Saccharomyces cerevisiae S288C: one gene and its partners. Changing the gene in region 3 together with the main gene of any one other region gives a genetic interaction. Each region holds a gene or a part of one and is shown on either strand. Other genes may lie near its edges.

Region 1 (4,393 bases), on a different chromosome or scaffold from region 3:
TGTCCAATTCAGTTTCGACTCCTGTGTATATCTCTCAAGTGTGGTTGACTACATCAAAGAAGTAAGTGTTAATGTAAATCTAAGATAATTTCAATGAACTAGTATGCTAACAATTTAGAGAACGGAGAAACCAATCCGGACAAATTCTTGTTCAGAATTCAAGCCATTTCTGCAGCAGTTCAAGTTTTTGTTTCATTCATTATTGGGGATATTGCTGCTTTTCTTGGGTCCATTAAATGGGTAATAGTGGGGCTTTACTTTTTATCCTTTGTGGGTAATTTTTTGTATTCATGCGGCGGTGCAGTGTCGCTAAACACCCTTCTCGGTGGGCGTATTATATGTGGTGCAGCATCTGCTTCTGGTGCTATAGTGTTCAGTTACATCATGTCAATTGCACAAGATAGGGGTATCGTTTTCAAGCTTCTATCAATTTATCGAGCAGCGGCTGGTATCTTCATGGCGTTGGCACAATTAATTGTCATATTTTTTGGATATTGCGATTTTAAAATTAAAGGGTATCGCATTGCCTCTTACAATGCACCGACATTTGCCTCCAGTTTCATAATTCTTGCAGTATGCCTTTTATTAGTTGTCGTTCTGGAAAATCCTGAGGTTAAAGTTACAAATTCGGAAAATAGCCTTTTCAGTGCTCTGAAACAATTTTTTAGAGTCGAAAGAAAAAAACTCATCTCCTGCTTGATTTTACTATGGAGCATGTTCCTATCGTCATTTATTATGAGCGAAGTAGTTTATTTTATGCCACTATTCCTGACGCTCCACGTTAACTGGGACACCAAGTTTCAAGGCATAGCGTTTATGGTCGCATCTATACTTGGTGTGACTGGAAGCTATTTCGCTCCAAAGTTAATAAACGTCGGGTGCTCCTGCGGCAGAGCCAAAGATGGCGGATTAGAAGAGTCAGATACAACTGGAAGTGAGACCGTTGAGGTAAAGAAAAAAGATTCGCTGTACAGCGGTCAAGTTTTTCTGTCCATCTTTGCATTGTTTGTTTCATTGCTGGGACAAGCTTTTATGATTGGAGCATCCGAAGCCTTGAAGCATAAATCAATGCCACCCACAAATTCTGGTATATTTTTTTCAGCTGGGATGTCGATTACATTGTTAGGGTACAACTTTTTGGCTTCGAGCATTCCAGCCCTTTTTTCCATGTACATCGACCCCAAACTCAAGGTCCAGTTGATGCCTTCAATTGGAGCAATCTCTGGGATTGGTAAACTGGTGGCACCGATTGTATTAGCAGCTCTTTATGGCACAAGATTGGGGCTTTCAATTGCGGTTGGATTTGGTATGATTTTGGTAGCTGTTTCAATTCCACCGCTTATTTGGCTCAGGAAAAAAAGGTGTTAGATTTCCTTAGACATATACTGGTCCAAATCCAGCTATATATCGGGTGCCATTGACGTATATTTTTTCGAAGAACTTGGACGACAAAAAGTCAGCCTCTTTTTTATGGCGTTCTATCAACAAATTTTACATTTGGAAATGATAGTGTATTATCTTTACCATTTCTATAGTGATATATCCGGACTAATCTTTTAGCGGCCATAAATAAATATTACTAATATTTAAAGTTTCCTTCTGATTTATTCTTCTATTATATTCAAACCAGTTGTGGAAAAGTGTGTGCCTCTTTTATATGGCACTTTATACTGAATGATGTAATCAGTTTGCATGGACGCCAAAGCTTGTATTTTAACCAAGGTTTTTTAGAGTTTGGCCGCTTCAAAGTTAAAGACGTTAGGCAATTCGCATAACCTTTTCTTTAATCTCAATATATTATTCTAATCTTATTCTGCAAATTGTCATTGGAATTCGCTTCCGATTTGCTGTACTGCTTGCTGAATAATATCTGCTCTTGCATTGGCAGGTGAGAAATGAATACTATCTTTTAAGGATGTTGGTTTATAATCTCTCGGAGACTAAAAACCAACTTCTCAAAATGATTTATGTATTTGCCCAAAGTTAAAATTGCGTGTTTCCAATTACGTATGCGATATGTAAAAAAATTAAAAAAGTGAATGAATAAGCGACTTTTCGAGTTGCTATTTTTTTCTTGGTTCAACAGAAGTAAAATATAATCAACCATAAATAGGAGAATACAGGCGGTGCTTACAGCTTGATATTTTGTTACCAAGTCAAGATCTATAATAATAACTCAATACATATATGTTAAAGTTAACAACAACATCCGTTACTTTCCACGTACTAAGATATTTCCAACTTGGCTTATCTGTAACTAACTTGTTGTTAGCTAGTTTTGCCATAATCACAAACTATAAAGTGGATCGAATCCTTAGATTGAGCTTAGCTGTTTCAATCATATCTTCAGTTTATTTTGGGATTGTGAGATTTTTGCCTGTTCTGTTAATATTCGTGATGGAAATTGTTCAGACCGTCCTGTGGTTTACCGCTTTCGTAACTCTAGCTTCAAAATTTGGTTCTATGTCCTGCTCAAGTATGCCACGGGGTATAAACTTTGATTATTCAGGTTCTTGTAAGATTGCTAAAATAGATATTTTACCAGAAGCCGTTTTATTCATACTATTTCTCGCTACCACATATGCTTCTTATATCACAGTCCTATCTCAAGCTAAGGAAAATGGGTCAAGCACAAGATCTGTTTTGAAGGCTTGTGTGAAGGCATTACGTGATACCGTGGACCGCTTGGAGACCAGTCTGGAAGAGAGTGAGCCTCTTTTAGATCTTGAAGTTCAGGAAGATGCGAGGACTGAAACCGAAAGCATTGAGGATTCAACTGATAGTGAGGATAATGCTAACATCGAACAAGAGAAAGTGATTGATGGTTCAATTGAGCATTCTTCATGATGAACCAAATGTCTTGTAGTGCATGCTGTTTCTGACTTTGCTTAATGGATTTTTTTAGTTCGACGATGTTCCGTATATTTTAGAGGCACACACTTTCACTTTTCCTATGTTGAGTAATGAAGGCATTTGAAGTTACGGAACCTTATAGGTGTCAGCACGCTGTCATTCCAGATAATTTTGTGTCTCCCTTACCTCCACATATGAATTTGGAATACCAATAATTACCTCTTAAAAGGTTTCAGAAGACGTTTACTATTTAATTCTTAGCTACACATCATATAGTTATTAATTCAATATATTACTTTTGGTACTGCATTCTAAAACACTAAAGTATAACCTCCGAACATTATATAGGTGTTTATTGAGTTATTTTTTGAAGAAATAGTCCACTAGAAATTGCTTGGGATGCGGGATTCCTTTTTCTCTTGGTCCTTACATTATACACCAATTTTATCTTTATAAGAAAATACAGGTAGTTAAATTAAGTACATGAACGCTGAAGATCGATTGGTTCATATTCTATCGGCAATTGGTGTGTTATACAATTCAGAGTTACTAAATATGAAGCTTCTGTCATCTTACGTATGATTTTTCTGCTTTTTAATACGATTATTTTTCTGAAAAAGTGTTATTTGAAACAACTTAAGCCTCAGTAGTTAGAATCAATCAACAAGAGTCCCCTAAAAAAGGCGCAAACCATCTACGTTAATGAAATTACAACAGTTAGAGGATATTATACATTGAGTGTTTACTTAAATATGAAAAATTGTTCACCAGGCTTGGTATTCCTCCAAGTATTCAATCATTCTTGATGGGTTTCTGATAACAGCTTTGGCAGTTTGATTTCTAGCGGTGTCGACGAAAATAGGTGGTCCGCAACATACGACGGCAAGTGAACCAGAATGGTTAACAGATTCATTTAGTATTTCTTCAACATTTGGCCTTCCAACATGGAAAGTGGCAAATTCTAAATCGGAGATAGACGTGTCATTCAGGGAAAGAGGTAGTTCTGTATTTTCACTTTCAGAAGGAGCTTTTTCTGAATTGCTTAGACTAGATGGGGCCTTCTCTGCTGTCGTTTCACCGTTTTTGACTTCATTTGAGGAAATTTTTTCAGCCGAAGCTAGCTCTTGCTTAGAATTATAAATGTGAACTTGAACATTCAAGCCCTTTAATGCCATTAGTTCTTTCTTACACGCGTTGAGCATGTCTAGTCCTCTTACTGCTATGACTAACTGTACAAAGTTTTTACCGCTTGCAGCTGTTGTCTTTCCTAATTCAAGGGCATGAGAAATTGGACCGGGAAGCCCTGAGCCACCTGCCAACAATAATACATTATCAAAGCGATGGGCGGTGGACTTGGAGCCATAAGGGCCTTCGATAGCTAATCTCATGGATGCCTTGCCGCCTTTACGTTCAACAAAGTTTCTTACCAGTTTTGTCACACCTTTCTTTGCTTTCAGAACGATGACCAATTCTCTATCGTTTACGCAAGAATCCATCACTGTAAATGGATGCGACTGCCAGAAGCACAATGGACGCAAGA
Region 2 (4,236 bases), on a different chromosome or scaffold from region 3:
TGATCAACTGATTGCCAAGTACTCCTCTTAGAAAAGGGGTATACTAGCTCCATGTAAGGAGTTTTGGCCTAGCTTTCCTTGTTACTATTCTATTATTATATTTTATTGGCTGCAAAAACGTGACTTATGTACATTTATAAATGCCCATATCCCTTACTACTCTCCCTGGGGACAAGGCGTAATAACTGTTAATAAATGCATATACTCTGTTCTATTTAAATTCTCGGGGTTCGCTGGAATATTGAATCACAATTAGGGAGATTCGCATGTAATTTACGCCGAGAATGATACTGATTTGTGTTGAATATGACAAGGTTTAGCGGAAACACGCTCTTGAAATTTTTAAAGATATTTTCATGATTTATATACAGACTGATCTGTATACATTTTTATATTGTCATACATAGGCTTTAATAACTACTCAGTTTTTTTTGATGGCGGCAGAAGCAGCGCTTTCATTGCTCTACACAAATCCGCAATTCAAGTGACAGACGCCAAACTAGTGGTACAGTACACTTACTGAAGCGCACCATGTATACCCTGATCTACATCTAGAGCTTGTTCAGTTTTTCTTTATGCTTTTAATTACGCCAGGAAGAAAACCGTTCTTACGTGGTGGATGAAATAGGAGAATTCGGGTTTCTGGGAAAACTTAAAATTTCTTGTTGGAAAAGTAGAAAGAAAAAGAAAAGTTTGCCTTCTGAGAAAATGCTACATATGGTAGAGACATCAATCGATTGCTCAACACGCGTTAAAAAGGGGAAAGTGATTGCCACTGTGATCACTTTAAATCATTTCTTCGTTCTCATTCTTTTCGTCTAATTTTCTTCTCTACCACTCATTATACCAGGCATTTTATCTACATCAAAATTTGTTTTGAATCGGATCATATCATGAATAGTACCGCCGCTGCAATAAATCCAAATCCAAATGTTATACCATTCGATGACACATACATTCTCTATGATTCGCATGACTTTCTATCATTCCTTAGTGCATATTTCTCGCTGATGCCCATCCTAGTGCTAGCTTTTTATTTGTCGTGGTTTATCATCACAAGAGAGTTAGAAGCCTGCATTGTAGCCTTTGGCCAATTGATGAACGAAATATTCAATAACGTGATCAAGAATATAATAAAACAGCCACGCCCCGTATCGTTCGGTGCGTCGTTCCAAAATGACACTATAAGATCCGGTTACGGGATGCCCAGTGCACACTCCCAATTCATGGGGTTTTGTTTTACCTATAACTCTCTGAAGATATACACTTCCTGGAAGAATCTAAACTTCTTAGAAAAATGCATTTTTTCTGGTGCATTGGCTTTATTATCGTTTTGCGTTTGCTTTTCCAGAGTTTACTTGCACTACCACAATTTAGATCAAGTAATCGTGGGATTCAGCGTGGGGGCACTGACTGGATCACTTTATTTTTTTATAGTTGGCATCATAAGAGAGCTTGGTTTAATCAATTGGTTTTTAAAACTACGTATTGTCAGATTATTTTACATGACAGATTCTTACAATCTGGCGCCTTTGACATTGAAAGAGAATTACGAGGCGTATTGGAAAAGAATAAATCAGCGATCTTTCAATGATAAATCCAAAAGGGATTAGGTTGAACATTTCATTTTTCTTATTTTTTCATCTATTTTAGCGAGGCGATCTTGAGCGTTTGTGTAACTGGATAAAACTTGGCAAGCTGGAGTAGTCCTTATTTCTCATAAAGAAAGCCGAAAGCCTGCTCTCCTACAGTTATTAATTAAGAACGCTCGTTTTAAACAGTTACTGTGTAAAGCGACGGTAATCGAAAAAGTATGTGACATCGTGCAAAAGAAGATAATCAAAACCATGCAGAACGTAGAATAAATGTGAGTTCTATCACTTGCGGAGATAATACCCTCTGACGCCGCGGGGCCGATTGTTCCACGGAGGGAAAGAATCGGCCCTCGGGTTTTACGAGAGCGCCGCGGGTGAACTCACTTTTTTCTCGAGAAGAAGTTTCCTACGGCAGAATAAGACCCTTTTCCACGGATAATCAGCGGAGCTTCTGGACATAATAGATGGTTTGTGAAAAAGCTTAAGGAAAGCCGCGGATTTAGCATGTCACCCACACTTAGATTACGAAAGCAAGGATTGCAGAAAAAAAGATGAGATACAGTTTTGAGGGCAATATATAAAATATATAAATATAGCAACATTCCCTTCTCTCTGTTATGTCCACAATACTTCTAAAAGTTGTAACATATATCTATACATAAAAACTTGTAACAAACATATAATTAAAACAACTAGTGACAAGACGGAAGTTATAAGTTATCTTCTCTACAGAAACAATACGTAATGTTACTCACACCAGCCAAGACTACAAGAACGGAAGACTCAGCAAACTCAACAGATGACAGCAGTAAAAGCAGTAATTCATTCATGCGTGCCATAGTTTCTTCCCTTATGGTTAAGCCCATAACATCTCTGACTAATACAGTCACATGCAGACAAAGTTCCCATCACAATAGCTCTCCAAGTAAAATCACAAGATATGATTTAATCAAAGCTGCTGCTGAAAATGACTTGAAAAGGAGTAAGTCTCAGGGACGAGAAAAATCCAGAAGAAACTCTAATCGTAGAAATAATGAAGAAATTTTTGTGGCCAATACTGCTTCAGAAATCCAACGGACTAAAAGTAGCATATAGCAACCCTGAGGTCAATGTGCTTAACTACTTCTTTGCATCTTCATTGTCTCTAAAAAGATTCATATCCTCATATCCATTCGCATCTTACTCATCTTCATAATCACCCTATGTACATATATATATTGTCATAAATATACTAATAATTAACAATCACATTTTAATATTGGAAGTTTTCTCATTTTCTTGCATTGAATTCATGCATCTGCCGCTCAGCTAGAAACAAGCGCATTCGTCTACCAACCAGCCCTTGAGACCCGAAGGCAGAATGTGAGAAATTACAATTTTATTTTTAAAGAAACTAAACTAAACTAAATTGAAATTGATAAAAAATATACATAAAAGAAACACAGGATTTATTTATTGTATTTTTTGTATGATCTATGTTAAAGTCGAGCTAGTTTATTCCAATTTACCACCCTTTCTTTGGATCAAAGCCTTTCTGTCCTTGTCCAAGTGTAACTTAGTGATAACAAGCTTGGATGGGTGCAAGTTAATTGGAACGGAAGCACCGTTGACCTTTTCCTTGGTGACCTTGTCAACTTGAACAGCAAACTTCAATCTGTAAACAGATGAAATCTTACCTTCTTGACCCTTCTTGGAACCACGAACAACCAAGACTTCATCGTCTCTTCTGATTGGCAAAGCCTTGATACCATATTGAGCTCTCAATTCCTTGGATAATGGAGCAGATAACAAAACACGACGTTCAGAGGATGGAGCAGTGAAATAAGCCTTTCTGGCCTTTCTTCTGTCAGAGGAAACGTCTATTGAAAACAAATAATAAAAAAATTTGTTAGTAAAAGCAAAACTTTTTTTTCACAATGAGCACATAATTTTCATCCACACTTAAATCTATGTTGCCCCACATCCAACGGAGTATGCATTTCACAAATCAATATAAACGGTAACTTCCTACTTTTCTTCTATCTCCTCTGCGTACTCACGTTTTTCAATATTGGATTCTAAAGCCGGAATTTATGTCAGCAATACACAAGCTTAAAAATCGTTGAGTGCTAAATAGTCGCCCTATGCCTGGATTGAATATGCAAAAGCTGTTTCTTTTTTTTTTTTTTTTTTTTTTTTTTTTTTTGGCTTAGGTACATTCCTCCTCATCATACACATTGTTTTACAATAATTTAACATTATTCGATTAATTGTTCTCTTGCATTTTATGTTAACATTTTTTCGTGGACGGAAATTCACTCATGTTTTCTATCGTTATTCGTATCCTCCAAACATACCTAGAGATTGCTTAGCCATATTTGATATATCTTTGGTCTTGCCGTTGTTATTCCTTAAAAAAGAAGCACTGAGAACGGGCTAATACTTTAAAACAGTAGCCAGATAGCTATTGCTACTATTAATTTCCAAACACTATGTGTGTAAACGTATGAGATTTCCCATCCACGGCGGCCACCGTCTACTGACAACCCATCCTAAGCACTGACAATCTGAAAATTTCCAGATCTCTGTGAGTCCCTCAAGCCGAGGACAGCAGAAAAAAAATCAAAGAGATATGATAAAGCTCCTATTAAACCCAAACACC
Region 3 (5,032 bases):
CAAGCCAAAGAAGATTGCATTTACGTTCTTGACTAAAAGCGGTAAGAAGACACAATCAAGAATTTTACAATTACCAACGGATGTGAAATTTGTCTCTGATGTCCTTGAAGAAGAAGAGAAACTAAAAACCGAGCGAAACAAGATTAAAAAGATTGTTTTAAAACGTTCTTTCGACTGAGATTCTTTTGCGAATATAGTTCTTTAAATTTTTACTATATATGCCCACTTATGTTTGGCTCTATTAAATGGCTACGTGTTTATATAGTACCGTTTATGACGCTGTATTTTTATTTACACTGCTTTCCAGGAGATTAAAGAGCGGAGTGTTAGTCAACTCTCACGACAACAACAGTTATATCGTCTTCTTTACCACCGCTGTAGTTTTTGCCAGTTAGCTTAGAAATCTCTTGCGCAAAAACACTGGGGTAATTGGGGTCCTTGCTTAAACTGACAACATTGTCCACAAACTTCTGGGATAATAGCTGTAACTCATCGTTTGTTCTCGCAGCGTTATCCTTCAGAAAAAGCTCAATATCATCTGTGGCAATATTATCGGTTACACCATCGGTAGCCAATATAATAATATCCTTTTTTTTCAATTGGAAGCTATATTCATCAGCGTCTCTGGGGGTGTTTAAAATATACTTGCTACCCCTTCTTTCGGCCTCTTTCAACATTTCTTCTGGAATGATTGACAATTGGTAAGGAGCATTAAATCCAACAGTTTGAAACTTTGTCTGGAATACAAGTTTAGAATCTCTGAAGACTCCACACCAAGAATCACCCAAGTTGGCAACTTCCAATTTTCCATTAGATGGGAAGTGAGCCACAATGGCTGTTGTCCCACCAACCTTCACTACTTTCTCATCCCTAATTTTTGCGTATGCAGCACCAATAATTTTCTTTGGCGTTAAAAGCGTTTCTTTGGATGAATTTTCTGCTAAAGCAGTGCTTATTTCGTCCATTTTTTTACACAATTCTCTTGAGATGGCGCTGGAGTCATACCCATGCTCAGCCCATCCTCCAACACCGTCTGCGACACCGGCAAAAATATCGTGAACGTTGTTTGATGTAACAAAATAGTTGTCTTCTCCTGTAGGTGATCTAATAGAATCCTTTAGTTTTTGGTATATCAGATCGTCTCTGTCTTTTGGTTGGAAAGCTACCGCGGTTTTATAGGTGAACGGGCCTGATTGGCTACCTGAACTATACGCATCACCATGACTGTTGTTCGATTGATACCCACTCTTGGCACTTGAGTAAAAAGTCCTCTTGGAAAAGCTGATGATTTGACTGCAGGATCCTATGATATGAGAAAAGTTAGTCTCTGAGTCGATTAGCATTTGTCCCGCAAATTTAGCAATTAGCACACCAATGAATAAAACAATAAACATACCATAAAGGGGACCTCTCGAGACCCTCAAAGTTCTAAATCCAACGTTTGCAAACATTTTTGGTGGCTTTGTCGTTTGTTTTCTGGACCGCTTTTATTGCATGTGTCTTTTACATTTGTTTACTGTCAAAATGAAGCTCGCGTGTAAATTTGTAGATTGATTACAGAAAGATGTAGCTGAAACCAGCCAAGAAAGAACAATTAGCACATCTCATTTTATAGAGCCTCAGTTTCTGTCGTACGACTGTTGCAAAATATGTAGGTGGAAGTGGATTTTTAAATTACGTTTAAAACGTAGATTGCGAGTCACTGAATGGCAGCAAGCTTATTAAAATGATTAATTTCTAATTTTATTGTGATATAGGCAACTTTGGATAGAGGAAACAATGAGCCGTAAGAGTGCTAGTTACTGTTTTCGCACCGCCGCAATCGTATAGGTGCGTTAATGGCAGTTTAAAAGCTAATACTGCTTACATGAATGTCAACGGCGCCAGCATGGTCAAATAACCGGCAATATGTCCTGCTTCAAAGTTAAATAGTTTGAAGTATTTAGTGCAAAAGTGCCATCTTCTTTCTGGGGAAAGTTTTAAAGATAACATCGTTATTGGTGTAATTTTGAACAACTGCATGATCATGAGTTTACTTGAGAAAGATGGCTTTATTTACTGAAAATCTGCTACTGAATAGAAAGCGCTCTTAAAATCAAAAGGAGAAGAGAACCAAGAAAAAAATTACGCAGATTGTGCCAATTCCAAGATGAGCTGATGCACGATATTTGCAGAAATTTATAAAATGGAAAGATCTGCAAAATATCACGAAGACATCAAAAAATACGATCTTTACACCCAAGGTATTACAGTCTTTGGGTAATGAAATTATCAGATTTGATGGAGGGCTTTTGTGATAATCCTTCTAATTCATAACAAGAACTTTATACGGTACACATGTGGAGAAACAATTTCCTTACTTAGATTTCTTAAAATGAAAGATTTAAAACACATAGAGGAAGCTCAATGGCCGACGCCAACTCAGGATGACAACGGTTTGTTTGTGAATTTGGATGTTTCAAACTCGGATCAAAAAATTCACAACATAATTGAACGGTTGGTCAGGAGAACGAAGAAGTTTTTACAAAGGCTCAAGTATAAGGAATGTCCTGCGCAACGTAATATATACCAGAAGGTCAATCCCAGCCTTGACGTAGTAATATGCCCTTAAACCTCCAGAAAATTCCCCCAATATAAAGTATTGCCGGGAAACAGCATATATACTTACAACAAATAGAATCGTTGGCACCGACATTGAAGTGGACTATGTTCCCCTATGAATTGTTCATAGTAATATTGTAGAAGACCCTATTGTTCTTGTAATTCGGGTAATATATTTGAAATTGTACAATATGCCTATTTAGGGATATCATTAACTGACTGCAGCGGTAATGATCAACTAATGCTCAACAAAGAGTCAAAAATACGGCAACAAACTGGTAGTAACGGTAGGACATTTTCAAATTTTCAATGTCTGACGATTTGAGAAGAAAAATTGCTTTATCCCAGTTTGAGAGAGCCAAGAATGTTCTAGATGCGACATTCCAAGAAGCATACGAGGATGATGAAAACGATGGTGATGCATTAGGTTCCCTGCCATCATTTAATGGACAATCAAATAGGAACAGAAAATATACGGGCAAAACCGGTAGTACTACTGATAGAATTTCAAGTAAGGAAAAGAGTAGTTTACCCACTTGGAGTGATTTTTTTGATAATAAGGAGTTGGTAAGTCTTCCTGATAGAGATCTGGACGTAAATACATACTATACATTACCTACTTCATTGTTATCAAATACCACTTCAATTCCCATCTTTATTTTCCACCATGGGGCGGGCTCCTCAGGTTTATCATTTGCAAACTTGGCCAAGGAATTAAATACTAAACTAGAAGGAAGATGCGGATGCTTTGCATTTGATGCTAGGGGGCATGCAGAAACAAAGTTTAAGAAGGCTGATGCGCCTATATGCTTTGACAGGGACTCTTTTATCAAAGATTTTGTAAGCCTGCTAAATTATTGGTTTAAGTCTAAAATAAGCCAAGAGCCACTTCAGAAGGTATCTGTTATACTAATTGGTCATTCCCTTGGTGGAAGTATATGTACTTTTGCGTACCCTAAATTATCAACAGAACTACAAAAGAAAATTCTTGGTATTACTATGTTAGATATTGTAGAAGAGGCTGCCATTATGGCCTTAAATAAAGTTGAACATTTTTTGCAGAATACACCCAATGTATTTGAATCAATTAATGACGCTGTCGATTGGCACGTTCAACACGCGTTATCGAGATTGAGGTCAAGCGCCGAAATTGCTATACCAGCTTTATTTGCTCCGCTCAAGTCAGGGAAAGTTGTCAGGATAACAAACCTTAAGACCTTTAGCCCTTTCTGGGACACATGGTTTACCGATCTGTCGCACTCCTTTGTTGGCTTACCTGTTAGTAAATTATTAATATTGGCGGGAAACGAAAATCTCGATAAAGAATTAATTGTGGGGCAAATGCAAGGTAAATATCAGTTGGTAGTTTTCCAAGATTCCGGGCATTTCATTCAAGAAGATTCGCCTATAAAAACAGCAATCACTTTAATTGATTTCTGGAAGCGGAACGATTCTAGGAATGTAGTAATCAAGACTAATTGGGGTCAACACAAAACCGTGCAAAATACATAAGGGTTAAATATCACTTTTATATCTTTATTTATGATAGAATAAATAACAGAATATATGAACTCGTGGAAAAGTCTTATTTTGCTGTGAGCACTTCTTCTGTGCTAATCAATAGACATAATGTCAAGCGTTGAGCCTTTATGTGCTTCACACTGCTCGACAACTTCATCAATTTTTCTTGAAGCCCATGGAAATCTTGGGTTGATTAAGAAAGGACGTAAGTCAAATCTGTTGTCTTCTGGTGAATACTGTTCAGCATGATAACTAGGAGTTAAAACAGTTTGCTTGTGTCTGTTGATGGCATAGAAGAAGAAAAATCTTTTCACCTTTTCAGATATTTGACGAGGTGTTAACTTTGGGGACCATTGATGAAGAAGTTTTAAGAACATAGAATAAGGACCACATTTTTCAACCTTTCTTAGGTAACCAAACACGCCCAATTCTTCATACGTCATCCCCATATCTATCTCATCCGATTGAACGTAATCTTTAGTCATAGGTTCTAATTCTGCAGTTGGTGTAGCGTTTAAAAAGTCATTCAAGATTGGCATGTTATATTGTTTTGATGCGTAGGCAATGAATCTTTTCAAGTCAGTTTTTGAAATACCCCCAATAGGGTTGATATCTGCGGAGGAGCAGTCATATTTTGTTAGATACCCACGTAAGCACTCATCAACATTTGCGCTACCAAGTACTAACAATCCACCCGAGTTTGGGATACCACGAACCCACGGCAACAGTTGCGCAAAAAGATAAGAAAGAACCATTCTTAGACGCGCCTGGATGTTTTGTAAAGCCAAGTTCTCGATTTGAGATCCCCCAAATATTTTGTATATTGGTTTTTTGCCAGTGGCTACTTCGAATAAGGACACCACACTGGATACCAATGAGTCCATCTTTAAATCCACGTGGTAAGATCCAA

What was found. A genetic interaction does not mean that the proteins touch.
Region 1: mutations in PPE1 (region 3) and YNR061C together harm fitness more than expected from each alone (negative genetic interaction), as found in Saccharomyces cerevisiae (one large-scale study listed by BioGRID).
Region 2: mutations in PPE1 (region 3) and YGR035C together harm fitness more than expected from each alone (negative genetic interaction), as found in Saccharomyces cerevisiae (one large-scale study listed by BioGRID).

The regions. Positions count from the first base shown.
Region 1 is NC_001146.8:741,335-745,727, reverse strand, and holds YNR061C (uncharacterized protein), read left to right. Parts: upstream 1-2,187; coding exon 2,188-2,847; downstream 2,848-4,393. Other genes in the region: PUL3 (Pul3p), read left to right, coding at 385-1,368; FRE4 (ferric-chelate reductase), read right to left, coding at 3,618-4,393.
Region 2 is NC_001139.9:555,526-559,761, reverse strand, and holds YGR035C (uncharacterized protein), read left to right. Parts: upstream 1-2,339; coding exon 2,340-2,690; downstream 2,691-4,236. Other genes in the region: long-chain fatty acid transporter ACB1, read left to right, coding at 1-31; CAX4 (dolichyldiphosphatase), read left to right, coding at 894-1,613; YGR035W-A (uncharacterized protein), read right to left, coding at 1,976-2,197; 60S ribosomal protein uL24 RPL26B, read right to left, coding at 3,090-3,454, 3,932-3,950.
Region 3 is NC_001140.6:247,520-252,551, reverse strand, and holds PPE1 (phosphoprotein phosphatase methylesterase 1), read left to right. Parts: upstream 1-2,910; coding exon 2,911-4,113; downstream 4,114-5,032. Other genes in the region: NMD2 (Nmd2p), read left to right, coding at 1-178; type 2C protein phosphatase PTC7, read right to left, coding at 327-1,303, 1,397-1,451; QNS1 (glutamine-dependent NAD(+) synthetase), read right to left, coding at 4,215-5,032. UniProt on the Saccharomyces cerevisiae protein: Demethylates proteins that have been reversibly carboxymethylated. Demethylates the phosphatase PP2A catalytic subunits PPH21 and PPH22. Forms inactive complexes (PP2Ai) with phosphatase PP2A-like catalytic subunits.